7 linked regions of the Sus scrofa genome follow. The protein of the gene in region 7 interacts with the protein of the main gene of each other region in a pairwise test. Links are inferred from orthologs where the notes say so. Each region holds a gene or a part of one and is shown on either strand. Other genes may lie near its edges.

The links.
Region 1: the proteins of NCK2 (region 7) and CHN1 interact in binary tests that used the Homo sapiens proteins (3 or more experiments, as listed by UniProt). The two-hybrid records come from large-scale screens. The link is inferred for Sus scrofa from reciprocal best matches to the Homo sapiens genes NCK2 and CHN1.
Region 2: the proteins of NCK2 (region 7) and CPSF6 interact in binary tests that used the Homo sapiens proteins (3 or more experiments, as listed by UniProt). The two-hybrid records come from large-scale screens. The link is inferred for Sus scrofa from reciprocal best matches to the Homo sapiens genes NCK2 and CPSF6.
Region 3: the proteins of NCK2 (region 7) and TRIP6 interact in binary tests that used the Homo sapiens proteins (3 or more experiments, as listed by UniProt). The two-hybrid records come from large-scale screens. The link is inferred for Sus scrofa from reciprocal best matches to the Homo sapiens genes NCK2 and TRIP6.
Region 4: the proteins of NCK2 (region 7) and EFS interact in a two-hybrid assay, tested with the Homo sapiens proteins (2 studies listed by BioGRID and IntAct). The two-hybrid records come from large-scale screens. The link is inferred for Sus scrofa from reciprocal best matches to the Homo sapiens genes NCK2 and EFS.
Region 5: the proteins of NCK2 (region 7) and NCKIPSD interact in binary tests that used the Homo sapiens proteins (3 or more experiments, as listed by UniProt). The two-hybrid records come from large-scale screens. The link is inferred for Sus scrofa from reciprocal best matches to the Homo sapiens genes NCK2 and NCKIPSD.
Region 6: the proteins of NCK2 (region 7) and TRIM27 interact in binary tests that used the Homo sapiens proteins (3 or more experiments, as listed by UniProt). The two-hybrid records come from large-scale screens. The link is inferred for Sus scrofa from reciprocal best matches to the Homo sapiens genes NCK2 and TRIM27.

The regions. Positions count from the first base shown.
Region 1 is NC_010457.5:80,733,245-80,735,746, forward strand, and holds part of CHN1 (N-chimaerin), read right to left. Parts: intron 402-2,502; coding exon 296-401; intron 1-295. UniProt on the Homo sapiens protein: GTPase-activating protein for p21-rac and a phorbol ester receptor. Involved in the assembly of neuronal locomotor circuits as a direct effector of EPHA4 in axon guidance.
Region 2 is NC_010447.5:33,524,388-33,528,467, forward strand, and holds the start of CPSF6 (cleavage and polyadenylation specificity factor subunit 6), read left to right. Parts: upstream 1-1,280; 5' UTR 1,281-1,376; coding exon 1,377-1,436; intron 1,437-4,080. UniProt on the Homo sapiens protein: Component of the cleavage factor Im (CFIm) complex that functions as an activator of the pre-mRNA 3'-end cleavage and polyadenylation processing required for the maturation of pre-mRNA into functional mRNAs.
Region 3 is NC_010445.4:8,712,051-8,716,020, forward strand, and holds the start of TRIP6 (thyroid receptor-interacting protein 6), read left to right. Parts: upstream 1-1,170; 5' UTR 1,171-1,329; coding exon 1,330-1,438; intron 1,439-1,730; coding exon 1,731-1,858; intron 1,859-1,950; coding exon 1,951-2,076; intron 2,077-2,363; coding exon 2,364-2,750; intron 2,751-3,046; coding exon 3,047-3,140; intron 3,141-3,248; coding exon 3,249-3,418; intron 3,419-3,904; coding exon 3,905-3,970. Other genes in the region: SLC12A9 (solute carrier family 12 member 9), read left to right, coding at 1-481. UniProt on the Homo sapiens protein: Relays signals from the cell surface to the nucleus to weaken adherens junction and promote actin cytoskeleton reorganization and cell invasiveness. Involved in lysophosphatidic acid-induced cell adhesion and migration.
Region 4 is NC_010449.5:75,718,948-75,723,039, forward strand, and holds the start of EFS (embryonal Fyn-associated substrate), read left to right. Parts: upstream 1-1,292; 5' UTR 1,293-3,260; coding exon 3,261-3,503; intron 3,504-4,092. UniProt on the Homo sapiens protein: Docking protein which plays a central coordinating role for tyrosine-kinase-based signaling related to cell adhesion. May serve as an activator of SRC and a downstream effector. Interacts with the SH3 domain of FYN and with CRK, SRC, and YES.
Region 5 is NC_010455.5:31,371,185-31,374,684, reverse strand, and holds part of NCKIPSD (NCK-interacting protein with SH3 domain), read left to right. Parts: intron 1-35; coding exon 36-240; intron 241-432; coding exon 433-523; intron 524-767; coding exon 768-1,258; intron 1,259-2,487; coding exon 2,488-2,658; intron 2,659-2,816; coding exon 2,817-2,903; intron 2,904-2,991; coding exon 2,992-3,130; intron 3,131-3,211; coding exon 3,212-3,292; intron 3,293-3,469; coding exon 3,470-3,500. UniProt on the Homo sapiens protein: Has an important role in stress fiber formation induced by active diaphanous protein homolog 1 (DRF1). Induces microspike formation, in vivo. In vitro, stimulates N-WASP-induced ARP2/3 complex activation in the absence of CDC42.
Region 6 is NW_018084804.1:142,269-145,768, reverse strand, and holds part of TRIM27 (zinc finger protein RFP), read right to left. Parts: intron 2,922-3,500; coding exon 2,691-2,921; intron 1-2,690. UniProt on the Homo sapiens protein: E3 ubiquitin-protein ligase that mediates ubiquitination of various substrates and thereby plays a role in diffent processes including proliferation, innate immunity, apoptosis, immune response or autophagy.
Region 7 is NC_010445.4:49,064,534-49,067,857, forward strand, and holds the end of NCK2 (cytoplasmic protein NCK2), read right to left. Parts: intron 696-3,324; coding exon 501-695; downstream 1-500. UniProt on the Homo sapiens protein: Adapter protein which associates with tyrosine-phosphorylated growth factor receptors or their cellular substrates. Maintains low levels of EIF2S1 phosphorylation by promoting its dephosphorylation by PP1.

The sequences.
Region 1 (2,502 bases), on a different chromosome or scaffold from region 7:
CCCTTTCCACAAAAACGAATCCAAGTCCCTGGCAGAACATTGGTATTTCTAGTATGTTCGCACACAAATACTGAAACTGCAAATCCATTTATGTCAGAGTCAAGTCTGCATTCAGTATTGCAGTGCAGAATATTTTTAGCATTCCTTCCCAACGTGTGCGATTTCACACAAAGAGACAAGTTCTCTGTGCATTTATTTATTCATTCAGTGGATCGGATGTCCTTTCACCTTTGCTCTCTTTGACTCTTAACATGTGAATGTGGTACCAGTATAAATTTCCAAGTCTGTGACTTGCCTCTTCAGATGCGCCATGAGGTACCGGAGGGTTTCGCAGTGAGCTGGCGGCAGCAGTTTCAGTGCTTCATGGAGGGTTTCTAATTGCTCATCAGGATCCATGATTTCTACAATAGCAAGAGGAATACCACGGAGAGAAAAATTGGTACAAATGGTCCATTTAATTCTATTCTTGTGGTGATCTCCCCATATGGGTAGGAAATGCTTTCTCACCAGTCCTTGCCCACAGTTTTGGAAAATGTTTTCTAAGGTTCAAATCTCAGATTGCCAAAAGTTTAATGTCAGTGTGGCATTAGCATGTTCTTGGACTTTTGGGGAGAGCATGCAGTGTTTTCACTCGAGGGTCCTGGAGTCTGGAAACCATGTATCAGATGTATAGGTTGTAACTATAAAACTGACACATATGTGCATGAGGATGAAAACATATACATTCAAATGAGGTCATCTTAGAACACTACAGACATATTTAAGTGATGCTGCACTGTTCCAAATACTGTGAAAACCTCCTTTCAGCAATGGTATACACAAGCTACACCGGCCCAACGCTCCCTTTTTAAACCAAGAAATGGATCATCCAATATTTACTTCCATTATTCATTAGACTTTTAGTTTTAAATTACTTTGGAATATAAAAAAGTTAATTCTACCTTCAAAGCACAAAAATATTGTACCACTTAGGATAGTCAGGAAAATGCAAGGCAGACTTTGAAATCAATTCCAAATGTTCTGAGTGACAGCAGGATCCCTGAAATAAACATGGCTCTTACGAAGGTATAAATGTTGATGAAGATCCTCTTCCTTTGGATATTTCAGTTCTCTGTTGGCCAAAAAAACCCCCACATTCCTTTAAGGTCACCGAGTACATTTAATTCACCAATTATTCCCATATTCAGAAACAACAAACCTCTTTAAAATTTTGTGCTCTCAAAAAGAGGACCCTAGGAGTTCCCATAGTGGCACAATGGAAACGATTCCGACTAGGAACCATGAGGTTGCAGGTTCAATCCCTTGCCTCGCTCAGTGGGTGAAGGATCCCGAGTTGCTGTGAGCTGTGGGGTAGGTCTCAGATGTGGCTCAGATCTGGTGTTGCTGTGGCTGTGGTGTAGGCCTGCAGCTACAGCTCTGATTTGACCCCTAGCCTGGGAACCTCCATATGCCATGGGTGTGGCCCTAAAAAGACAAAAGACCAAAAAAGAAAAAAAAGACCCAGCACGTTCTTGCTTCAACCCAATTATCAGGAAGATGGGGTGCCCTGAAATGCTGGATAGCAGTGTTGAAATGCTGGAAGGCCACATCTGATCAGAATATAACATTTATGACAATAATCCTACTTTTTCTCATTTATAAAACAAACCAACTCAATGGCAACATATTGGAGTCAAGTTAAAAACTGATATAAGATGAATGTGAAAAGTTCCTAGCACTGGCAGAGCACCGATAAATTTTAGAATGTGAACAGTGACTGAAGCTTTTTTAATTCAAATAAACTTAGGTCATTTTACAATTTCTGCCCAAAGCTTCCCCAAAGTTCTTCATTCATTTCTTAGCAATAAAGAACATATTATTTGCCTTTTGCTATGATAAATAACTCATGGTTCTTTGACCCCTGGGGCTTCTAAAGTGTGCTGATTCATAAGAGCAATAATATCTCAGATCCTGAAATTCAATCACTTAATTTCTAGAATTAAGAGAAAAAAAATCCCATTTAGTTTTTATTTAGCTAGGTTTTTTTTTTTTTTTTTTTTTTAACCTTGGACTGATTTGAAACTACAGTGTTCTAGAAATTAAAAAAAGAGTAACTTGTTTCATTTTTAATTTCTATAATCTTTACAAGGAGACTGTGTGAAAGGGACAGTGTTGGGGGCCTAGCAAATAAGCAAAATTCGCTGCTCATGGAGAGCTTACTTTCTCTGAGAGGTGACTGATAAGAAACAATGACTATTCTATCTTAGAGTTTACGGTAGATTAGAACGAGGCACCTGCTATGGAAAAAGCAGCAGGATAAGAAACACCGGAAGGGCTGAGAAGAGGGTGCAATTTTAAGTGGGGTAGTCAGGATAGACCTGAGGAAGAAGGAAGGTGCTGAGTGCAGACTGTGCATGAGGGAATGAGGCCCATGGAGAGATGCGGGTGAAGATGGTTCCAGGCAGAGGGACAGCCGTGCAAAGGTCCTGTGGGGAGAGTGTGCCTGTAACATCTGAGGAACAG
Region 2 (4,080 bases), on a different chromosome or scaffold from region 7:
AGATATCACTTGGCTTATCATGATTTCTGGGCAGTATGCATCTTATGAAACAGTCTAACTTGGATTTTAAAAAGGGTGAAAAGAAGTAAAGAATGGGAGGTTTCAAGCTGGAGAGACAACTTTGGATAAAGTACAGTAGTCCTCACTTACCTGAGGGCATATATTCCAAGATCCTTAGTGGATGCCTGAAATTGTGGATAGTACTAAACTCTACATATACTGTTTTTTCCTCTATTAACAGGTACGGTGTAAGAGGTGCTAAACAGAGAGATGATTCACTTCCAGGGCTGGTTGGAGTGGGATGGCTAGAGATTTCAAGACTCTACTCACAGAGTTCCCATCCTGGCTCAGTGGTTAATGAATCTGACTAGGAATCATGAGGTTGCAGGTTCAATCCCTGGCTTTCCGCAGTGGGTTAAGGATCTGAACCTTCTTTAAGGAGGGACTACTACATTCATTGGCAGCAAATGCTTTCCTTATTAACCCGAGACTCGGATACACTATTTAGCTTCTTTAGGCCTCAGTTACCTCTCTCATCTGTAAAATTAGATATTTGGACCTAATGACACCTTTTCCAGTTCCCTCTCCGATATTCTGTGATTCTAAGAGGCCCCTCGCTTCAACATACCTCTACCTTACTGTGGTGGTGGGAAGGGGAGGGGGGACGAACCCCAGAAGGACTGCCTTCGTGTTAACGGCATTTCAATTACTCCAGAGAAAACCAACTGCAGATCAAAGGAGGAAAAAATGAAAGGCAATGAAGGGAGGAAGAAGAGATTAAAGAAGAGGAGGGAGATACCAATGGAAAGATAAACAGCATGCAAATAACCTAAGTAGCATGCAAATAACTCAAGATAACCTTCTAGGGTACCTAGTTTTTACAAGGCAACCCTATCTCAGTAGCCCTCTGAAGATACAGGGGTAAGACACTGCTCTCTTCCCAAGGCGCTCACAGAAAGCGGGGTTACACTTCGTATTTCATCTTGGACCTAAAACTTCCACCTCTCTAAAAACCCTGGCTGTGAGAAATATAAGAAAAGCCGACAAATGCAAATATTACCAAACGTTTGAGAGTGCCAGAGCTCCGAGACAACAGTCTCTGGAAACAAGTGGGACCACCCCCTGCCCCGCCCCCCGAGCCTAACCCAGACACACAAAAGAAACCGCCGGTGCACTGGGAGCTGCAGATTCCGCTCTCGGCGGGCCGAGCCGGCAGCGGCTGAGGAGCCCGGCGCCCCCGGCCGCCCCCGCCTCGGCCCTTGGGCCTCGGAAGTGACGCAGCGCGCCCCGCCCCCGCCGCTAGATCCGCTGCTGCTGCCGCGGCTGGCGGACCTGCAGGAGGCGGCGGCGGCGGCGGCGGCCGAGGCCGAGGGAAGATGGCGGACGGTGTGGACCACATAGACATTTACGCGGATGTGGGCGAAGAGTTCAACCAGGTACGTGAGGGCCCGGGCTCACGCCGCCGAGTTGGGCGGCGCTACGGGCGGGAAGAGGACTCGGGGCCCGCCGCGGGCCGCGAGCCGGCGTGGCTGCAGACCGTGCGCCCTTGGCGCCTGTGGGCCGCGCCGCCCGACCCCGGCGCGGCGCCCCCCTTGCCCGTCGTTCTACCGCGTCGTTTCACGGGCCGCGGGCGCGGCGACCTGCCACGGGGCTCCGAGCGCGGACGCCGGCCGCCGTGCAGCCACCTCCTGCCCCTCCCGCGCCTCCGCCTCGCTCTCCATTGTTGGCGGCGGCCGGCGGGCGCTTCCCGCCGCGCTAGGCCCGGGCGGCAGGACGGCGTGTGCGCGGCGGGGAGAACGGCGGCCCCGGCGCCCCCTCCCCCGCCGCCGGGGCGAGGAGGAAGCCCGGCGGGGCGCGCGCCGGCCGCCGCCTCGCCCCCAGCCCTGCCGCTCGGACTCCGATTCCTCCAGTCGCTCCATTTTGTCTGCCTTTCGGTGCACGGTCGCCTCATGGAAGGCCGCGTTCACGGCCCTTTGTATCCCGCGCGCCCTGCTTCCTGGGCTCTCCTGCTCGCGTTTGCGACAGGTTTCGGCGTGGTGCCTTCCTCCTCCTCCCTTCACTCTTTAGGAAGGAGGCTAAGGTGCGGGCACGTTTGCAACAAGTCCTTTGACTTGGGATCGTGTGTGAAAGTCGGTGGCGCTGGCCCTGCCCCGGTGGTCGAGGGCTTACGGTGCCTTTGAGGCCCAGCTGCTCTTGGCCTTTGTGATGAAAATACCAGTTAGATCGGTGGCTCGGGCCAAAAGGAAGACTTGGAAGCGCGATGGTTGGATGGAATAAAAAAGGTAGCTCACCAAGAGATCAGAGTTGTGATTAAAGAATTTCACACGCATTTCATATGGTATAGTTTTAAAATAAAGGTTGTAGCAATGAACCGATTTCCAAAAGCAAAATGTTTAGTGTCCTCCGAGGAGTTAAGAGAGGCCAGAGAAAGTGAGAATGCAAGGTTTTTTTTCTTGTATCGCAGGCCGCAGTTGCCTAGAAGGACTAGCCGCAGGAGCTGTGATGTCTGATGTTGAGCATCCTTGTAAAAGGTTGTTACTAGAGTAGTGACGTTTAAGCTGTAAACCTACTGTTCACATTTTTACTGCCTTTTATGTAGCAACACATTTTAAAAAAATCAAATTGTGCCCGACTGCAGTGTACGTAAAGGCTTTATTTTTTTCATATTTTCCAAGTCCTTATGAGAAGCTCAGTAAAATTCTACTGGTTAATGTGTTTTTGTGGGTTTCGAAAAAACCCTCTCCATTAAGACTCTTATTTGTGACGCAAGATTTTTTTTTTTTTTTAATAGAGAAAGCTGGAAATCCTTGCAGGTCTTTTTTTGAAGATTGATTGTATCCCTGTTTTAAATATTAGAAAAAAAATTCAGTTAGCTTTAATGTTTCCTATTCCGTTTATATATTTAAATGTAACCCGTTGTAATCAAACGTGAAGTTTGAAAATCTGTCTTCTTTTTATTGTGTTTACATTTTGGATATGTGATTCCTGAGATGTGTCAATGACATTTTAGAAAATTACCTTGAGTGCTACATGGTCAGATTCTAAGCTTTTTTAAGGTCTGTAGACAAAGACTTCTAGGAAATTTCCTTTCCTTTTATTAAATGAGTATAACATTGCATAGAAAAGAGGTCCATATCTGCAAGTAAAGGAACAATTAAGTGTTCAACAGTCTTCGTTAGCTTTCTTACAAGAAAATTTACTGTTTTTCTCCCCATGTTAAAAGAAGAATTGAGCTACACTTTTAGAAGTTGAGCTTTCTTCAGAACCTTTTAATGGAACATTTTTTAAGCTTTGGCATACTTAATTTGGGATGGACATTTCTCTAATCTGTATAGCTGGATGGAGTGATACTTGCTTATCCCTGTGCAGTAACTAGTGCTGACTGAGCAGGAGGTAAGGAGAGATTAAAATTTTGTGGCACCAATGAGGAACTGCTTTATAGGGTTCTTGTAAAAATGTAACTTTTTGTTGACTTGTTCCTATAGCATATGTTTCTCACATAGTTGTATGATTTTACCAATAAAATCTTTGTACTTTTGAATAGGTTAATGGAATTAAATAGAGGCTTTGTTGTTGTTATTGTGCATTGATTGGCCTTTGCAATCTACTGCTTGCTGTGGTAGTTCCTGGTTGAAATATGGCCACAAAAAGATGGTTGGTTGTTTTCAAGGTTTGTCCTTCATTTAAAAAAATGTAGGTATCATTGAAATATTTTTCTGAAATCTTGTCAGAATTAGAAGCAACTACAGAATTACTGTGATTGATTTAATTCACTTTCTAATTCGCTGGCAACCTTACTTCTACTGGTTGCTCTAGTAAAGTGACTCTTATTTTGTTGTAGTCGAGTAAAATGTTTTGCTAAATATAATGGGTCATGGCTTATTTTGACTTCTAAACTACTGTAAACATTTAAAAACAACCTTTAATTAAACTGTATTCTCTTAAATTCTTTGTAGTTTATGTATTTTCCATTTTCTTCTGTTTTAAATGGCCATACTTTTATGATCCTTTTTTCCATGTGTGTATTTTGGTAAAGCTCATTATAAACCTGTTGCAGAAAGTGTAAGACATTACATTTTT
Region 3 (3,970 bases), about 40 Mb from region 7:
CATGGTGCCTGCTTGGCACACTGCCCGCCTCCGGATCTTCTTGTGCCTGGGGCCTCGGGAGGCCCCAGGGGCAGCCGAGGGGCGGCTCCGGGCACTGCTGAGCCAGCTGAGGATCCGGGCAGAGGTGCAGGAGGTTGTGTGGGGTGAGGGGGCTGGGTCCGAGGAGCCTGAGGAGGAGGAGGAGGGGGACTTTGTGAATGGCAGGCGCGGAGACGCAGAGGCAGAGGCCCTGGCACGCAGCGCCAACGCCCTGGTTCGGGCCCAGCAGGGGCGCGGCAGAGGAGGAGGGCCTGGTGGGCCTGAGGGTGGGGATGGCGAGGAAGGGCCCACCACCGCCCTCACGTTCTTGTACCTGCCTCGGCCGCCTGCTGATCCCTCTCGCTACCCTCGCTACCTGGCGCTGCTGGAAATTCTGAGCCATGACCTGGGCCCCACGCTGCTCATTCATGGCATCACCCCTGTCACTTGCACTGATCTCTGATGCCGGTTCCTAGTAGAGAGTGTCCAGGTCGAGTGGCCCACTTTGCTTGGCGGGTTGAGGAGGGGAGGTGCTGCCTCTTGCCCTCCTTGTACTTGGGACTCGGACCCTGGTGGAGGTATTAGGGGAACCTGGTCTTTGGGAGAGGGTCCTCGCTGTGCCCAGGGCAGCTGAGCCGGCGGCCACCACTGGCGAGAAGTCAGCAGCCCTCCCCCACGCTGGCCTCCCTCCCTTCACTGGTGCCTTGACGGGGCTGGGTCTCCGCTTGTGACTCTAGGCTACCTCAGTCTCCCCGCCCCTTGCCCAGTAGACTCCTCACCCTTGAGGTTGTGATGTTTTTGTTCCGTTTTATTTTTCTAACTGCTGAATGTGAATAAAAGACCAAAACACTAGGTGCTGGCCGAGCGTTTCTGGAGGGAGCCGGTAGGGGGGACAGAATGCGGGACGAATCTGTATGCGGGGAGGGGCACTGGAGCATCCCAGCGCAAGGGGGCCACGTGCGGACTTGGGGCACAAGAGCCCCGTGTTAAAGGAGGCTGCCTGAGCCTCCCACCCCCACCCCCCGGGCCCACGCTCTGGAGGAAAGCCGCCCCGGCTCGCAGGAGGGGGCCGACTAGGGGAGGGACGGCAGTTTAGGGCCTAGGGGGCCACGTGACCCTCCCCCAGGAATGCGATGACGTCATCGGGGGCGTGGCCGTCCCCAAAATTGGGGAGGAAGGGGAAAAAAAAAAGCCAGAAAAAGTTTCTGTCCTGGAGTCCCAAGCGAGGTGTCGGGGGGAAGAAGGGGTCAAAGTCAGAGCCCTGGGCTCCGTGGGGCCCTGACCGCTGTCTGGAGTCCCCCATTCCAGACCATGTCCGGGCCCACCTGGCTCCCCCCGAAGCAGCCGGAGCCCGCCAGAGCCCCTCAGGGGAGAGCGCTCCCCCGAGGCGCCTCCGGGCCGCCGCCAGCCCACGGAGCAGGTAAGGCAGCCCCAGTGCGGTGCGGAGGCCACCGGGCCACCAACACTCAACTCTGCCCTGCTGCTCTTGCCTCCCGCTGAGCCTGCCCCTGTCGCCCCTTCCCCAAGCCCGGCTGGAACCCGCCGCGCCCCCGCCCTCGCCCTCTCCCAGCCCTCACTGCCTCCTGCCCCATTCTCGGACCCCAGATGCGGGGGGAGAGGGGTGAAGAGGGACCCAAGACCGGTGGCCTCCACAAGTGTCACCCTCCTCTCCTTCCCCATCCCCACCTTGGCTCTCTCTTCCCTCACCCCAGCACTCCAGTCCCACCCCAGGGTCAATTTTTGCCCCCTCCCATCTGAGCAGTGTTACCAGGCCCCTGGGGGACCGGAGGATCCGGGCCTGGCCTGGGTGGGGTGCCATGGAGCACCCCAACGCTCACAGGTGAGCACCGCGATTAGGGGGTGTGGGGGGGACTTAGGGCAGGAGAAGAGGCCATATGAGTTGCATTCTCCCTGCTTTTGCTCTATCTCCAGGGGCTCCCCCCGGACAGGGGGGCCTTGCGCCCAGGAAGTCTGGATGCTGAGATAGATTCCCTGACCAGCATGTTGGCTGAGTTGGACGGGGGTCGGGGTCACGCCCCACGGCGGCCTGACCGGCAGGTGACTCCCCGCTCCTGTCCCTCCCTGTCCTTGTCCCCCACCCCTCCCCCGCAACCTGGTTCCTGCTCTGTATTCTCACTCCTCTTCTCCCTCCACATGGGGGATGCACCCACCAGCGAGGAGGAAGCTGGGCCACCAAAACGTACTAGGTTGCCAGCCACTCAAGGACGGGCCCTTGTCAAAACCAGTGCTTACCTGGGTGCCACAGACACAGGGTTCAGGGGTTCCACAGATGTGTGTTCTGGATTGGGCCCAGCTCATGCCTTCTGGTCTGTGCTTCTCTCCAGGCTTATGAGCCCCATCAGCTCCCTGCCTACCGCTCAGGCCCTGGCTCCCTGAAGCCGAATGGAGGGAGTGTTCCTCCCACACCACTCCCAGCGGCCTCCTATGGCGGCCCCACGCCGGCCTCCTATGCTACGGCCAGCACCCCCGCCGGCCCTGCCTTCCCTGTGCAAGTGAAGGTGGCACAACCAGTGAGAGGCTGTGGCCCCCCCAGGCGGGGGGCCCCTCAGGCCTCGGGGCCCCTCCCCGGCCCCCACTTTCCTCTCCCAGGCCGAGGTGAAGTCTGGGGGGCTGGCTACAGGAGCCACCGTGAGCCAGGGCCAGGGGGTAAAGAGGAGGCTGCCGGAGTCTCCGGCCCTCCGGGAGGAAGAGGAGGCGGGTACGGGCCCCAGGTAAGCCCTGGGCCCTGGGATTTGGGGTCCTCAAAGACAGTTGGATGCTGACTGGGTGGGGTGGGGGTGGGGGTTGATGTTCCAGTTTTCAAGCTCTGGATTCCCTGGGGGCGGGGGGCAGGTCAGGAAATAAAGGAGGGAGGGGACTAGATCTGCACACTGGCTCCCAGAGGCACACCCCTGGCCCCTGGGCTGGGGTGTTCTCCTGTGAGCTTTTGGGTGGAATTGCCTGATCACTCTCGGTGACAGTATTGGGAGGGAGAGGTAGGATTGAACCCCTGATTCTCACCTCCCAGGTCCCCCTGAGCCAGCCTCCCGAGGAGGAACTTGAGAGGCTGACCAAGAAGCTGGTGCAGGACATGAACCACCCGCCCAGTGGGGAGTACTTCGGTGAGCTGCCCCCCGCCACACACCCCGGGCAGGGGGTGGGGGGAGGTCAGGTAGACAGTGGGTCTGGCTTCCCAGTCTATGGTTGACCCTGACCCATCCCGTCCCCAGGCCGGTGTGGTGGCTGCGGAGAAGATGTGGTTGGGGATGGGGCCGGGGTTGTGGCCCTGGACCGTGTCTTTCACGTTGGCTGCTTTGTCTGTTCTACGTGCCGGGCCCATCTCCGGGGCCAGCATTTCTATGCCGTGGAGAGGAGAGCGTATTGTGAGAGCTGCTATGTGGTGAGTGGTGGGGGCTGGCGGGGGGTGGTGGCAGATGGAGTCAGCAGCAGGAAGCAGGGGGCTTCCATCCAGAGTGGGAACTAGGTGTCCAAGCCCCAAAGAATAAGGCTCGAAGCAGGAGAACTAAAACTAATAAAGAAAAAGGCATGGATGAAATAAGTAGCTGTATACTGGTTGCTGGAGAGAAAGGACAACATTCCCCTGTAAGAGTGAGGCATTTATTTTCGGTTTAGGGGAATGTGCTGAATCCCCACAATGCCCTGGTGAGGCAGCTGTTACTCCTGAAGGAAACTGAAGGTCTGAGAGCTTAAATATCTTGTCTGGGGAAGCTGCAGTGCTAGGATTTGCACGCATACCTGTTCAAGGCCACCTTTAACTGAATCACATGCAGGGGGCTACATAAATAGGTGGGGGAGCTGGCAGGATGCCTGTAAGGGCTGCCATGGGTCACCCCAGCCCTGACCTTCCTGCTCTCCTTCCTGACAGGCCACCCTGGAGAAGTGCTCCACCTGTTCCCAGCCCATCCTGGACCGGATTCTGCGGGCCATGGGG
Region 4 (4,092 bases), on a different chromosome or scaffold from region 7:
TGGCCTTGCTGGGAAGGGACAAGATTGGAAGAGAAGACTGGGACCCAGAAGGCCAAATGGAGAGGTTCCTTCCTTCCTACCCCCTGAAGAATGGCAAAGACAAGCCTGAAGCTGAGGGCCCTCCTGTCTGAGGCAGGGTCTTAGCAACCCACCCAAACTAACCTGGGGCTCAGAACCCTCCCTGAACAAGTCAGAATCATGTTAAACTTTTGTTTGGGAACAAGAGGGCAGAGATGAGGCCTAAGAACAGGGAGAAGTCTCCTCCTGCCCTCAACAAACACTTTGAGCTCTCACCAAGGTTCAAGCTGTGGGGGGAGTGGGGAGCCATGCAGAGCCAAGGTGAAGAGGAAGAGCCATTGTGCCATGGACTTTACACATATTTACTCACCAAAGTCGCTGTCCAGATGAGGAACTGAGCAACAGAGATGTTGCAGATCTTGACCAAGGTCACCCAGCTGACAAAACAGGATTCACTCCTGAGTCTAACTGGCTCCACTCCCTGCCTGAGCACTCCAGAAACACAGACTTGTTTTCCTGCAGGTTTGCACTCGGCTCCCCAGTCACCTAGCCGCAGGCACAGGGCCTCAATGCCCACATTTCAAACCACCGTTTTGCCAGCACTTCCTTCCTGCTTAGTCTTTTCTGGCTTCCATCTATTTTCCCCTTGTGCCAGTCAGAGCGGTCATCTTTGGGAACTGGGTTTCCTGCCCACCTCCATCTTGAGCCCCACCTCCATCTTGTGCCTTGGCAGCCCCCTGGGCAGTGGTCATGCCAAGTCATTCTCCAGCTGCTAAATTCCAGGCAGCCAGACCCCCCAGGGCTGTGGTCTGGAAGAAGCTGCATCAGGCTGGAGCTGGAATGGGGGAGCTCTCTCTTCAGATGCATCTGTAAATTTAAAAATTCCTCTCTCAGGGTTCCTGTTGCAGCGCAGAGGAAAGGAATCTGACTAGTATCCATGAGGATGCAGGTTCGATCCCTGGCCTCGCTCAGTGGTTTAAAGATCTGGCATTGCTGTGAGCTCTGACGTAGGTCTAAGACAGGGCTCGGATCTGCCATTGCTGTGGCCAGCAGCTGCAGCCTGGATTCAACCTAGCCTGGGAACTTCCATAAGCCACACGTGTGGCCCTAAAAAGCAAAATAAAGTTCCTCTCCCATCCTAAGAGAGTCTGAGTCTGTTCATAGGTGCCCAAGCAATGAGGGGGTCGGATGGAGCTGGGGCAGGTATCCCCCCTCCCCTACTGGCTCCCTACCTTTCCTCCCACCTACCTGGACACGGACACGTGGGCCCGGAATGTGGGGTGGGGGGGTGCTGGTAGGTGGGAGGAAAGGTAGGGAGCCTCTATCCAAGGCCTCAAGTTCACAAAGCGCCTTAAATTAGACTTCTGATGTTATCGCCAAATGAGGTTTTACACAGAGCCATTGTCTGTTCACGTGTTTGAAGTGTTAATGCGCTAAATGTAAACATTGAAAATATACCACAGCTTTTCAATCCTGTTTGGCATCTCACTTTTTAAATTCCAGGAAGCTCAAAAACGGAAGAAGGAAGGTTCTCTGGAGTTTCTGAGGGGCCTTGATGTATGCCCCCAAAGGAAGAACGCGGAGTGGGGGCTAGGTGGAGGGAAGTTGCGCCCACAAAGGAGCAGTAAGTAATAGGGCAGGAGAGGTGTGGGGACCCCAGAGCCCCGCCCTTTCTGCTGAAGCTCCTGAGGGGCCAGAACGCAGCTCCTCTGAAAGAGTCCTATCCGCTGTCCTCAGTTCTCCTCCTCCTGGCAGCAGGAGTGAGCCAGAGTGACGGCGAGGGACAGGCCCGGACTGGCTGAGGCGGCACGACCGGCGGGGCGGCAGCTCTGGGACCCGACGCTCAGGCAGCACGTTCTCTCCTCAGGTCCAGAATCCGTGTCCAGCCCCAGCCCCGCGACCTGCCTCCCCCGCAGAGAGAGGCCAAGCCAAGAGAGTGGAGCGGCTCCGCGGAGGACCCCAGAAAGACGGAAGAGGCGCGCTCCCTCCCACGGGAAAGACAGATGTGGGGCTACTGAAAGGCGGGCAGAGAGGCGCGGGGCAGGCGGGGGAGAACAGGAGCGTGACCGGGAGAGGAAAGCTCTCCGGAGGGAGCGAACCAGACCACCGGGAGGTCCGCCGCGACGTCGGGCAGGAGCAGGCGCCGGGGAGAGGAGCCAGGAGGGGGCGTGCAATTTGGCCCGAGGGTCCTGAGCTGAAACTCAACACCCGCCTTTAGAGGGAACGTCCCCCTTTCCCCTCCGCCCCTTCTCTTCCCCTCCCTTTTCCCCTCCCTCCTTTCTCTTAATCCCTGGGACTGAGCCCCGCGCCGGAGCGGAGAGGGCCCGAGGGGAGGAGAGAGGAGCTGCACTGAGAGGGCGCCGGGAGCCCGGGAAGGGGAGGGAAAGGGAGCTGCGAGCCGGGGGTGAGCCTCGGGGCCACGCGCCACCCCTCCCCCCGGAGCCTTCCTAGTCGTCTCAGTGTCCCCCAAACCCCACCTTCAGGCGAGTCCGCAGGACCCTGGTCCCTGCTCCTCCTTCGCATTCTCTTTGGTCCTTCTTTTGCTTTGTGGCCTTTCTCTCGGTTCCCAGAGACACCTGGGCTGCCCCGAGCCCTGGGGCGCGCGGAACGGCCCCACAAAGGGTGCGAGTGAGCAGGACGAGGGGGCTGGTTCCGAGGGCCAGGGGGCTGAGGGCTGGAGAGGGGCGGGTGGGCCCCTCTGGCGCGTGGGGAAGGCCGTTCCGCCCCTTCGAGCCGGGCCCTCGCGCGGGTGGCGAGGCGCCGTCGCCGCGCCCCCAGATCCCCGGGCGAGTGTGCCTGCGTGGGAACCCGCCTCCCCAGCGGCCGCGGTCTCAGAGCCCTTCGGCGCCAGCCTGGCCTCCGCTCAGCAACTCGGAAGAGTTTAAAGAGGGACGAACGTCTCCGTCCTGATCCCTCCGCCCTCCCTCGGCGCCGGACCCCAGCCCCAGGAGCACCGCACTCCAGGCCGGCTCCCGGCTAAGGAGGGTTGGCTCCTAAACTCGCTCGTCCAGCCCGACCGTCCCGGCAGCTTCTCCCTGCCCTCGGGGCCGTCCTGAGCGGCCCGGGGAGGCGTCGAGGCGCAGCCCCAGCTCCCGCCTCTTCTCCTTTCCCGGCCCTGGAAGGGAGGTTTGGGCCCATGCGGACCCGGGGTGCCCCCGCGGCCTAGGGCAGGCAGCTCCCCGGCCTGGCCCACCCGGCGGCCCCCGGGAGGCCGCGGGACAGTGCAGAGCGCGCGCCCTTGGATGAGGTCCCGCAGCGACGCCCTGGCCCGCCCCGCTCCTCCTCCTGCCCGACCAAGCTGCCTCCCATTTGGGGAGTTTTGTGGGTTTTCTTTTTCCTCCTCCAACCTCCGCGGAGGCCACGACTCAGGCGCCGCTGCTGGGGGCCGCCTCCATGGTGTGGGGCAGCCGCTGCTGAAGTCAGCGAAACAGCCTGGCCTGGAGCTGGCCACGCGGAAGGCCAAGGCCATGGCCATAGCCACGTCGGTGAGTCCACCAGAGAGAGGAGACTGCTGGGCAGAGACCTCCACAGTTTGTCCTGCACTCCTGTCACTTTGATTTCTGCCTTCTCTTTGTCTGGCTCCTTGGTCTCTTGCTTCTCTAGGTGGTTGTGTCCCCCTCCTGGCACTTTGTTTCCCTCACTCCCTCTTACTCCTCGTCCCAAGCTCCTTCTGGGTCTGGTTTCCCCTTCTCCCTTCCCCCTCCCCATCCTCCTTTTTTTCTTTCTAGAGGCTGTGCCTGGAAGGAAGGGAGGGGGCAAGCCTGAATCCTAGCTACTCCTTTGCGGTGGCCACAGGAACAGATGGCCACTGGCTGTTGGCAGGGGCTTGTGATTGAAGGGCTAGTAAAAGGTTAGGAGGGGGATGAAAGAACGGAGATAGCTCCCAGAAAAGTGGGAGAGGCCAGAGGACCCAAGGAGGCCCTTCCCAGAGGAGGGATGGAGGAAAGGGGAAAATAGAGCAAAAGAGGGAGAGTAGTCAGGGAACAAAAAAAAAAAAAGTGGAGGAGGGGAGGTGATGTCAGCCAGCCTCTGGCCACTTTTCTGGGACTGGTGACAAAGGGAGGAGACAGCTGG
Region 5 (3,500 bases), on a different chromosome or scaffold from region 7:
TGTAACTCCTCCAGTAATCCCTGTCCCTCCCTTAGGAAGCTGATCCACCACCGGAAAGAGACCCTGTCCCGCAGAGGCCCCTCAGCCCCCAGCCCTGCAGCTATGACCTCATCCACCAGTGACCATCATTTGGATACGGCTGCCGCTAGGCAGCCCAATGGGGTGTGTCGAGCTGGGTTTGAGCGACAGCACAGCCTGCCCAGTTCTGAGTATCTTGGGGCAGATGGAGGCCTCTACCAGGTACATGGTGAGAACATCCTGGGGAAGGGAGGGGGGTGGGGCCTAAGGCTTTGTCCAGAGGCTCAAAGGGTCCATTTGGTCAGTGATGCTGCCTGGGACCATAGTCCTGCCCATGCTAGGAGCTCAGGCCCCTAGTCAGGTAGTACTGTAGATGGCAGCCTGTCTCCTCAGATCCCACTTCTGTCCCCCTAGATCCCACCACAGCCTCGCCGAGCAGCACCCACTACGCCACCCCCACCTGTGAAGCGCCGAGACCGCGAGGCCCTGGTGGCCTCAGGGAGTGGTGAGAAGTTGGGGTTGCAGGAGTTGGTGGGCACCCTGTACTTGGAATGGTTGCTCTGCATGCATCAGGGAACTGGGGGCTCCAGGCTTGGGGGGAAGACCAGGCACATGTTGGGGCAGTTGGGGGCTCTGGGCTTGGTGGGAAAGGTCTGGTGGAGGACCTATGCTGGGGGCAGGGTCTCTGGGATTGAAGGGGTAGGGCTTCCCTGGGGCTGCCCACCATAGCATGCCCTCTCTGCCTACAGGCGGCTGCAATACCACGCCCTCCGGGGGCAGTTCTGTGTCCAGCGGCTCCTCTGTCAGCAGCACCTCCCTTGACACGTACTATACAGGCTCCAGCTCCTCTGAGCTGGGCCCCAGCTGCTCACCCACACCCCCACCTGTGCCCCGCCGAAGCACCCATACTACTGTGTCCCAAGCTCAGCCCCCTCCCTCCAAGGTGCCAAACCCTGAGCCCCCTGCAGAGGAGGTGGCAGTTGATACAGCCTCAGCCCCTGATGAGCTGGAGGCCCTGGGCACGCTGAGCCTGGGAACCACAGAGGAGAAGGCGGCAGCTGAGACTGCCGTGCCCAGGACCATCGGGGCAGAGCTGATGGAGCTTGTGCGGAGAAACACCGGCCTGAGCCATGAGCTATGCCGGGTGGCCATTGGTGTCGTGGTGGGTCACATCCAGGCCTCTGTACCGGCCAGCTCACCTGTCATGGAGCAGGTCCTCCTCTCGCTGGTAGAGGGCAAGGTAAGGGTGGCAGCAGGGCCAGGGGCCTCCCCATCCTGGGGACACCCTACTGCCCCCACCCCATCCCCACCCTCACACTGTGTCCAGCCTTTAACTGATATATATTTGATGAGCTCCAGCTCTTGGATTCATTGAGCTGAGTGCTGGGGACATTTGGGCTGATCCCTGAAGGAGAAGAAGAGGAAGAGTATTCCAGGCAGAGGCTCAGCTTGGACAGGGGACCATGAGGCAGGACTGAGCTTGGCTCACGTGAGGAAGTGGAATAAGGTCAGCATGGTTGGAACACAGGGAATGAGGTGTGGGAGCAGGTGAGACCTGAGGCAGGTGACAGATGAGACAGATGCGGGTGGCCAAGAGTTCTCTTGGGCTGTAGGGAAGGAATAGACATAGGGCATGAGAGATGGCAGTGCCTTGCTGGCCTTGGCAGTGGAGAGAAATGGGTACTTTGAGAGCTATGATGAAGGCTTGAGTGCTGACTTGGATTTGAGTGGGGTAAGTGGACATCATGGAGTGGGTGGGATCCTTTGCCAAGGTTGGGGCACTGGGTCACGGAGCAGGATTAGAAGCCATGAGCCCAGTCTGCACAGTGGGGGCCAGATGGGCTGGAGTCTCTCCTCAGGGTTCCATGGCTCCCACAGCTCTGGTTTGGGGTGTGGGAAGCAGTGAGTCACTGGGCTTGCCGGTGCTGGGACACTGGCCCACAGGGACATGGAAGGTGGGTACATGACAGGTCTGGTTCCACTTTGTGTAGAATCAAGGCCTGGAGTCTCAGAGTCATATTCAGGCAATGACAGAATCCATGGCCTTCCACATAGAGGTTATTTACCCAGGTCTGGTACAGGAGGCAAGTTGTTGGAAAACACCCCACAGATGTGTCTCATGCAGAATCCTGTCCCACAAGGTTACCAAGACTTGGGGGCAGTGGAACTACTTGGAGAAAGGGGTATAGAAATGGGCCAGTGCCCTTGGGGGCCTCACTGTTGAAGGATGGGCCTTGGGAACAGGAATTTTATGGGAGCTTGATGGGGAGCAGTGGGGAGGAGGGAAGAGTAATAGGAGCTAGTCCCCTCACTGGTCTTGGGAGGATGCTGGCTTGGGGCAGCTCTGGGAGGTGAGGCTGGAGCCCCTTGCCTAACACCTCAGGTCTGAGTTGAGTTCCAGGCCTGGGGGTCTCCTGAAGATGGTGAGGGGCAAGTGTGCTGAGCCAGGCCTCACCCTCTCCTCCCCAGGACCTGAGCACAGCTCTGCCCTCAGGGCAGGTCTGCCATGACCAGCAGCGGCTGGAGGTGATCTTTGCAGACCTGGCCCGGCGGAAGGATGATGCCCAGCAGCGCAGCTGGGCCCTGTATGAGGATGAAGGTGTCATCCGCTGCTACCTGGAGGAGCTGCTGCACATTCTGGTGCGGGTGGGGGGCTCCCAAGTGTCCCTTAGTGTGTAGAACAGCAACCCTTCCCTGCCCCATTCCTCCCAGGTGCTCAGGAGTCTCCCCTGCTGATACTGTGCTCACACATGGCCACTGGCACTCAGTGTCTCCATCCCACCTCTTCCTCCCCACAGACAGACGCAGACCCTGAAGTTTGCAAGAAAATGTGCAAGAGAAATGAGTTCGAGTCTGTCCTGGCCTTGGTGGCCTACTACCAAATGGTGTGTGCGAGACAGAGGGGAGGGGGCATGGAGGGACCTGGGTAGAGGTAGAGTTTCCGGGCATTGAGCACATGGGGTCCCCTGCCAGGAGCACCGGGTGTCACTGCGGCTGCTGCTTCTCAAGTGCTTTGGTGCCATGTGCAGCTTGGATGCGGCCATCATCTCCACGCTGGTGTCATCTGTGCTGCCTGTGGAGCTAGCGCGGGACATGCAGACAGACACGCAGGGTGAGTGCGGGCAGCTTCCTGCCAGCTGGAGGGGTCCCACCATCTGTAGGGGTCATGACTGACTGCTCCGCTCCCCTGCAGACCACCAGAAACTCTGTTACTCTGCCCTCATCCTGGCCATGATCTTCTCCATGGGGGAGGCAGTGCCCTACGCACACTATGGTAAGAAGGCAGGTCGCTGGCCCACAGCCAGCTGGAGATGGGACCCGTGGTCTGAGGAGCTGGGGACCCACCGACCCTAACCTGACAGAGTGTCCCCAGGGTTCACAGGAAACCAAGGAGGCTGGACAGGGTGGGGGGTAGGACAGGGCTGCAGACTTCTGTATGTCCCTCTCCCAGAGCATCTGGGCACACCCTTCGCCCAGTTCCT
Region 6 (3,500 bases), on a different chromosome or scaffold from region 7:
AGGGCTTTGGCTACCAAACATCACAACTTGCCTGCATCTTCCTCTCCTCACCGTCCTTGCTTCCCATACAACAGAGGATCTTCCAAAAAACTAAGTCTTGCACATACACGTTAGTGACCGTTCCCTTCTGTTTTCTCAGCAACCCTAGTGATTAGTTCATCCTTATAGTTTAATTCTCTTCACCTGAATCCTTACAACCTAGGCGCTCCACCCCAGATCTTACTTTTCTTTAAAAGATGTTTAGCAAGTTTCCTCCTCATTTAGGTTTTTTTGTTTTTGTCTTTTTTGCCATTTCTTGGGCTGCTCCTGTGGCACATGGAGGTTCCCAGGCTAGGGGTCTAATCAGAGCTGTGGCCGCCACTCTATGCCAGAGCCACAGCAACACGGGATCCAAGCCACAACCTACACTACAGCTCACGACAACACCAGATTGTTAACCCACTGAGCAAGGTCAGGGATCCAACCTGCAACCTCAAGATTCCTAGTTGGATTCGTTAACCATTGAGCCACGACGGGAACTCCCTCCTCCTCATGTTTAGCTCCTCCTCCCCATTTTTCTTTTAAAATGTTTAGCTAGTTTCTGCAAGCATTCCCTCCCCATGAAGCGCCACAATCCCACTCCCATCCAGCTCTTTATTTTACATCCCCTTCCGTCTTGAAATAGTCATTTACTCTTACAGTTTCCATTCACCCTCTGCATCACAACTCTCCCCTTCATGTGGTTCCTGCCCAAGATGTTCCACTGTGGCGGTTCTCCCTAAGACTGTCAGCGATGCCCGTGTTTTTAAATCAAATATCTATCAGCCCTCATACCGGTTCACTTCAACTGCAGTACACTTTGATGTCCACTCCATCCTTCCTGAAACAGTCTTCCTTCCTGGCCTGCCTCTCTGGTCAACTGTTCCTTTTGCAAGCTCTTCCTTCTCTTCCTGGCAATTAAATATTGGTGTTTATTAAGGCTCAAGGTTAAGCCTTCCTCTCGTTTTAATCTAAAGCAGGAGTGGGTAAGCTTTTTCTAAGGAAAAGGCCACAGTTTTTCACAACTACTCAACTCTGCTGTGACAGTAATACATAAATGAATGGGCATGGTTGGTTATGTTCCAATCAAAATGTATGGACAATGAAATAATTTTACATATCATGAAAGTCCTCTGATTTTTTTTTTTTCCCAACCATTCACATCTCTGAAGAGCATACTTAACTCTAAGGACAGACAAAAACAGGTGGTAGACCATGGTTTGCGCATCTTTCTTTTCTTTTCTTTTCTTTTTGGCCATGCCCCCAGCATGCAGAAGTTCCTGGGCCAAGGATCAAAACAATGCCGGATCCTTAACTTGTTGTGCCGTATGGGAATTCCTGGGGGCCCTTTCTTTTTCTTTTCTTTTTTTTTTTTTTTTTGTCTTTTTGCTATTTCTTTGGGCCGCTCCCGCGGCATATGGAGGTTCCCAGGCTAGGGGTCGAATCGGAGCTGTAGCCACCGGCCTACGCCAGAGCCACAGCAACGCGGGATCCGAGCCGCGTCTGCAACCTACACCACAGCTCACGGCAACGCCAACGACGGATCGTTAACCCACTGAGCAAGGGCAGGGACCGAACCCGCAACCTCATGGTTCCTAGTCGGATTCGTTAACCACTGCGCCACGACGGGAACTCCTGAAATTTGAATTCTGATGTTGAGATTATGTGATAAAGAAGTGAACAAACAGGTATTCTAGGTATTGATAAATGCCACTTAGAAAGGGCCCCCAGGAGTTCCCATCGTGGCGCAGTGGTTAACGAATCCAACTAGGAACCATGAGGTTGCAGGTTCGGTCCCTGCCCTTGCTCAGTGGGTTAAAGATCCGGCGTTGCCGTGAGCTGTGGTGTAGGTTGCAGACGGGGCTCGGATCCCGCGTTGCTGTGGCTCTGGCGTAGGCCGGTGGCTACAGCTCCGATTCGACCCCTAGCCTGGGAACCTCCATATGCCATGGGAGCGGCCCAAGAAATAGCAAAAATAAATAAATAAATAAATAAAAATTAAAAAATAAATAAATAAAAATTAAAAAAAAAAAGAATTCAAATTTCAGGAGAGCTTATTCACCACTTAATTCCAGTGTCTAGAATAGTGCCTGACCCGAAATAGACAATATGCACTGAATGAACAAAGACAAGACAGGCATCAGCTTCTTTCCTGTGGTCTTGCTGGGCTGGATCTATTGTAGCTTTATCACCCAAACTATTCAGATTAAATCACAAGACTGCCTGGGCTAACCACTCCTGCTCAAGTGCTTGTTGTTTTATGGCTGGGGTCCTCCACTCATGTGTGTTAGTTAAATCACAGGATACTGGAGTGAGAAGGATCTTTAAATAACATGTGGGCGGAACCTCTCATTACATAATGAACAGATGAGGTCCCGGAGGCCCAGAGAGGTGGAGAGCCTTGCCTGTGATCAGACTACTTATCAGTGCAGGACAGGCCTCAGCATTAGGCCTTCCTTTTGCCCTTTAGGTGAGACAACGCAACTGACTGACCCAAGGTGTTTCAACCAGGGCCTCTATCATACATTTTCCCCCCACCAGGAGAGAGATTGACAAGCCCTTGCTACTCCCACAGAGTTGACAGGGGAGTAGGGGGCCCTGGATACTGCTTGGCAAAGAGAAGGGGAGACTTTTTAGCAGAAGCCGTCTTGGCAGGGACTCTTAAGCCTTACCTGCAGGAGCTCCCTAGTGGGCTGCTGTTGCTTCTCTTCCAGCTGGGCGATCAGGTTGCTGAGGTGGGAGATGTTGCAAGAGAACTGAGTGATGGCACCATTGATACTGTTGTAGATAGCCAAGTCTAGCTCCTCAAGGCGGGCCAGGAGGCGATACTCATGCTCCTTCAAGGAGTGATACAGCTGCTCAAACTCCCAAACGATCTTCTCCCTCTCCATCTGGGTCAGGCTCTGTGTGGATGACAGGGAAAGGCAGTGGAGAGAGGAAAGGCTACTTCTAGAGCCCTTCATAGTTCTCCCCTGACTATCCAGCCCAAGACTTCCTCATTTCATTCAGGTGTACTGAAATAAGCATCGTGTTCCCTCCCTCATTTTTTCCAGTCTTTACTGACTGGATATACAAGAGTTAAGAACTATTATCCCAGGGATAATCAAGATATAGACCCTGCCCTCAAGGAATTGAGTCAAACGAGAGTCAGGTTCATGTGATATATGTAATCATGGATGGATACGCAAAGACAGGGTGACAATCTGCAGTAGAAGCTGACACAGTCTTCACAGAAGCAATGTTCAAGAAGATTCTTGTAAGAGGAATAGAAGTTTGCCATGTGGTCAAAGAGCAGGAGAGCCTTCCAGGCAGAAGAGATGGCATGGGCAAATCTAATGAGTGGGAAGGGGAGGAAAATGGTTGTGTATGGCTGGAGCACATAAGTGCTGGGGAAGAGGCTAGAAAAAGGTAAGAGCCCTGAAGCCTGGCAAGCTAAAGGGCAAGGACTTAACAGCAACTGGGAGCCATGAAAGACTAGCAGG
Region 7 (3,324 bases):
ACTGGACAGCTTCTTCCCTCCTGTCTCACCGGGGGGCCCAGTATTGCTAGGAGCGCGTGGGGTCGCCCCCCGGAGTCTGGGGCTGTGTGAGCACCCAGCACCCGGATCCAGGGCCCCGGCAGGTGCCGCCCAGAGCCAGGCCCGCCGTTGAGGGTGCTGTAGCTCAGGAGTAAGGGCAGCTTCGGTGCATTCAAACCGCGCCCGGGTCCTGAAGGGGGGCCACATGGCGTGAGCGATGTCCACAGACTAAGGCTGTTTCCATGGAGAAGGAACAGGTGAGCCCTGGGCCCATGGCCCCCTCCCCGCCTCCAGAGCCGGCTGGGGGGGCCTGGGATGCCGAAGGGGGCAGATGGAAAACAAACCGACCCGGACAGAAGGGAAACCAGGCGGAGAGAGTGGTGCAGGACGAACCCCGGGGGCCGGCTGGTAGGAGGGCCCAGGATGTGGGCTTCTTCTGGGGTGCATGGCCGGGCTCAGGGAGCGCGGAGCACCCGGTGGTGTCACTGCAGCGCTCGGACGAGGTAGAGCTTCTCCCCGTGCTCACTGGTGAAGATGGGCGCCTTCTTGTAGTGCTCCACCAGCTCGTCCATGGTGTGGAAGCGCCGCTGCCCGATGCAGTAGACATTGTCCACGAGCTGCACCTTGAAATGCTTGTTCTTCCCTGATGCTTTGAGAGACACGGAGAAGTCACTGGGCTGTGGAGGAAAGAGAACACGGGTTAGCCCCGGGCTCGGAGGGACGCCGGGCTCCGCTTCCACCCCGGTGTGCAGAATGGCCCGGGGGCCATGGAGATGCTCATGCTCTGGATCAAAGGAAAAATTACCTTGTGCTTAGTGCAGTTTTGGTGCTAAATGTATTTTAGTTATTTGAAAACTGGAGATTCCTTATGGAATGTACAGCACCAGGGTTCACCAGTGTTAATTTTTTGGTGCCCAAGCTATTCCTTGGATTTGGAAAAAGTGGCAGCAGCTAGAAATTTCACTTCTACCACTATTATTAGTTCAGCCAACAGCATGGTAGTGGCACAAAAATAAGACACACAGATCGAAGGAACAGGACAGAGAGCCCAGAAGCAAACCACACACTTAGGGTCAATTCATCTACCACAAAGGAGGCAAGATATGTAATGGAGAAAGGACAGAAGTGCTGGGAAAGCTGGACAGCTACATGTAAATCAGAGAAATTACAAGACTCTAATACCATAAACACACACCAAAATCTCAAAATGAAAAGACCTAAATATAAGACCATAACACTCTTAGGGGAAAACGTAGAACACTCTTTGACATCAATTGCAGCGATAGTTTTTTGGATCCATCTCCTAAAGCAAAGGGAATAAAAGCAGAAACAAACAAATGAGTTCCTGTTGTGGCTCAGTGGTAATGAACCCAACTAGTATCCCTGGCCTCACTCAGTGGGTTGAGGCTCCGGTGTTGCTATGAGCTGTGGTGTAGGTCACAGATGTGGCTCGGATCCCAGACTGCGTTGCTGTGGCTGTGGTGGAGGCCGGCAGCTGCAGCTCTGATTTGACCCCTATGCTGCCAACTTCCCTTTGCTGCAGGTGCAGGCCTAAAACGACAAAAAACCAACCAAACCCCCCCCCAAAAACAAATGGAACCCAATTAAACCTAAAAGTGTTTGCAGAGCAAAGGAAACCATTGCTAAAACGAAAAGATAACCTACTGAATGGGAGAAAATATTTGTAAATGATGTGACTGATAAGGGGTTAATATCCAACATATACAAACAGCTCATACAAATCAACATCAAACAAACAACCCCAATTAAAAAGTGGTCAGAAGAACTGAACAGACATTTTTCCAAAGAGGATGTGCAGATGGCCAACGGGCACATGAAAAGATGCTCAACATCACTAATCATCAGGGAAATGCAAATCAAAACCACAATGAGGTACCATCTCATACCCGTCAGAATGGCTAGCATCAAAAAGACCACAGATAACAAATGTTGGTGAGGATGTGGAGAAAAGGGAACCCCCGTACACTGTTGCTGGGGATACAAACTGCAAACTGGTGAAGCCTCTACAGAAAACAGTATGGAGGTTTCTCAAAAAAAAACCAAAAAACAGAACTATCACATGATCCAGCAATTCCACTCCTGGGCGTGTTATCTGAAAAAAAAAAAAAAAAAAAAAAAACCCACAAAAACAATAATTCGAAAAGATACATGTACTTTAATGTTCATATTCACAGCAGCACCATTACAATTACCAAGATACCGAAGCAAGAGACAGGAAGGTTTGGCTCTGATTAGGTCTTGGGCTACGTATTATTTTCAGAATCACAGCCCTTAGAGGACTGGGGGCCCGCACAGGCTGGGGAGGGGGACACAGAACCTGAAAATTATCTCCCCAACCAGATGTCTAAGGAAGGAACCCTCATGGGGCAGAGATCTTCTGAGCCAGCCCAGGAGGGCGGGTGGGGATGGGGTGTGGGGGGCCTTGGGTGGACCCTCAAAAAAAAAAAAAAAAAAAGAGAAATGACCCATCAGGGATCCTGATGTCACAGATGATCCTGTCAACCAGCCCTATCAACATCATATTCTAAACAGCACAGAAGGGTACTCTCAGTAATTGTTTGCACAATTCTCAAATCACTGTGATTATCACAGGACTGACAAACGAGATGAATGCAAGCTGGCCTCAGCATCACCATCCAGGTCAGATGCTGTGTGTGGTTCTGAAAAGAGAACAAACTCAAACAGGTATCACCCAACAGGTGCTCTGCACGTGGAAGCCCTGCCACCACTGTCACACTGCAGTCAGTTCGGTGGACGAGGGGAAGCCCTGTGTCCAGCAGCACAAACATGCCAGGACCTGCTCAGCTCTCTCCTGGGGCTTTGTGTTGTCTTGAAGCGACGTTTGGTTTTTTTTTTTTTTTTTAGGGCCGCACCTGTGGCATATGTAAGTTCCCATGCTAGGGGTTGAATCGGAGCTATAGCCACTGGCTTACACCACAGCCACAGCAACGCAGTATCTGGGCCACATCTTCAACCTACACCACAGCTCACAGCAATGCCGGATCCTTAACCCACTGAGCGGGGCCAGGGATTGAACCTGCATCCGCATGGATCCTAGTCGGATTTGTTAACTGCTGAGCCACGATAGGAAGCCAAGCTCCTGCTCGTTTTTATAAGCACATGCATTCTGTGCCTTTAGATAAAGGTCGAGGGTGATCTCGGTTTTAGAGCTTAGCACAAGCCAGGCACTGAGGTAGTTGTATGTACAGCTACTTGAATCAGTTCATCATATGGAGGGAGTAGGTGACTCAGAGCTGGTAGATCATAGACTCAATATTCAGCAAG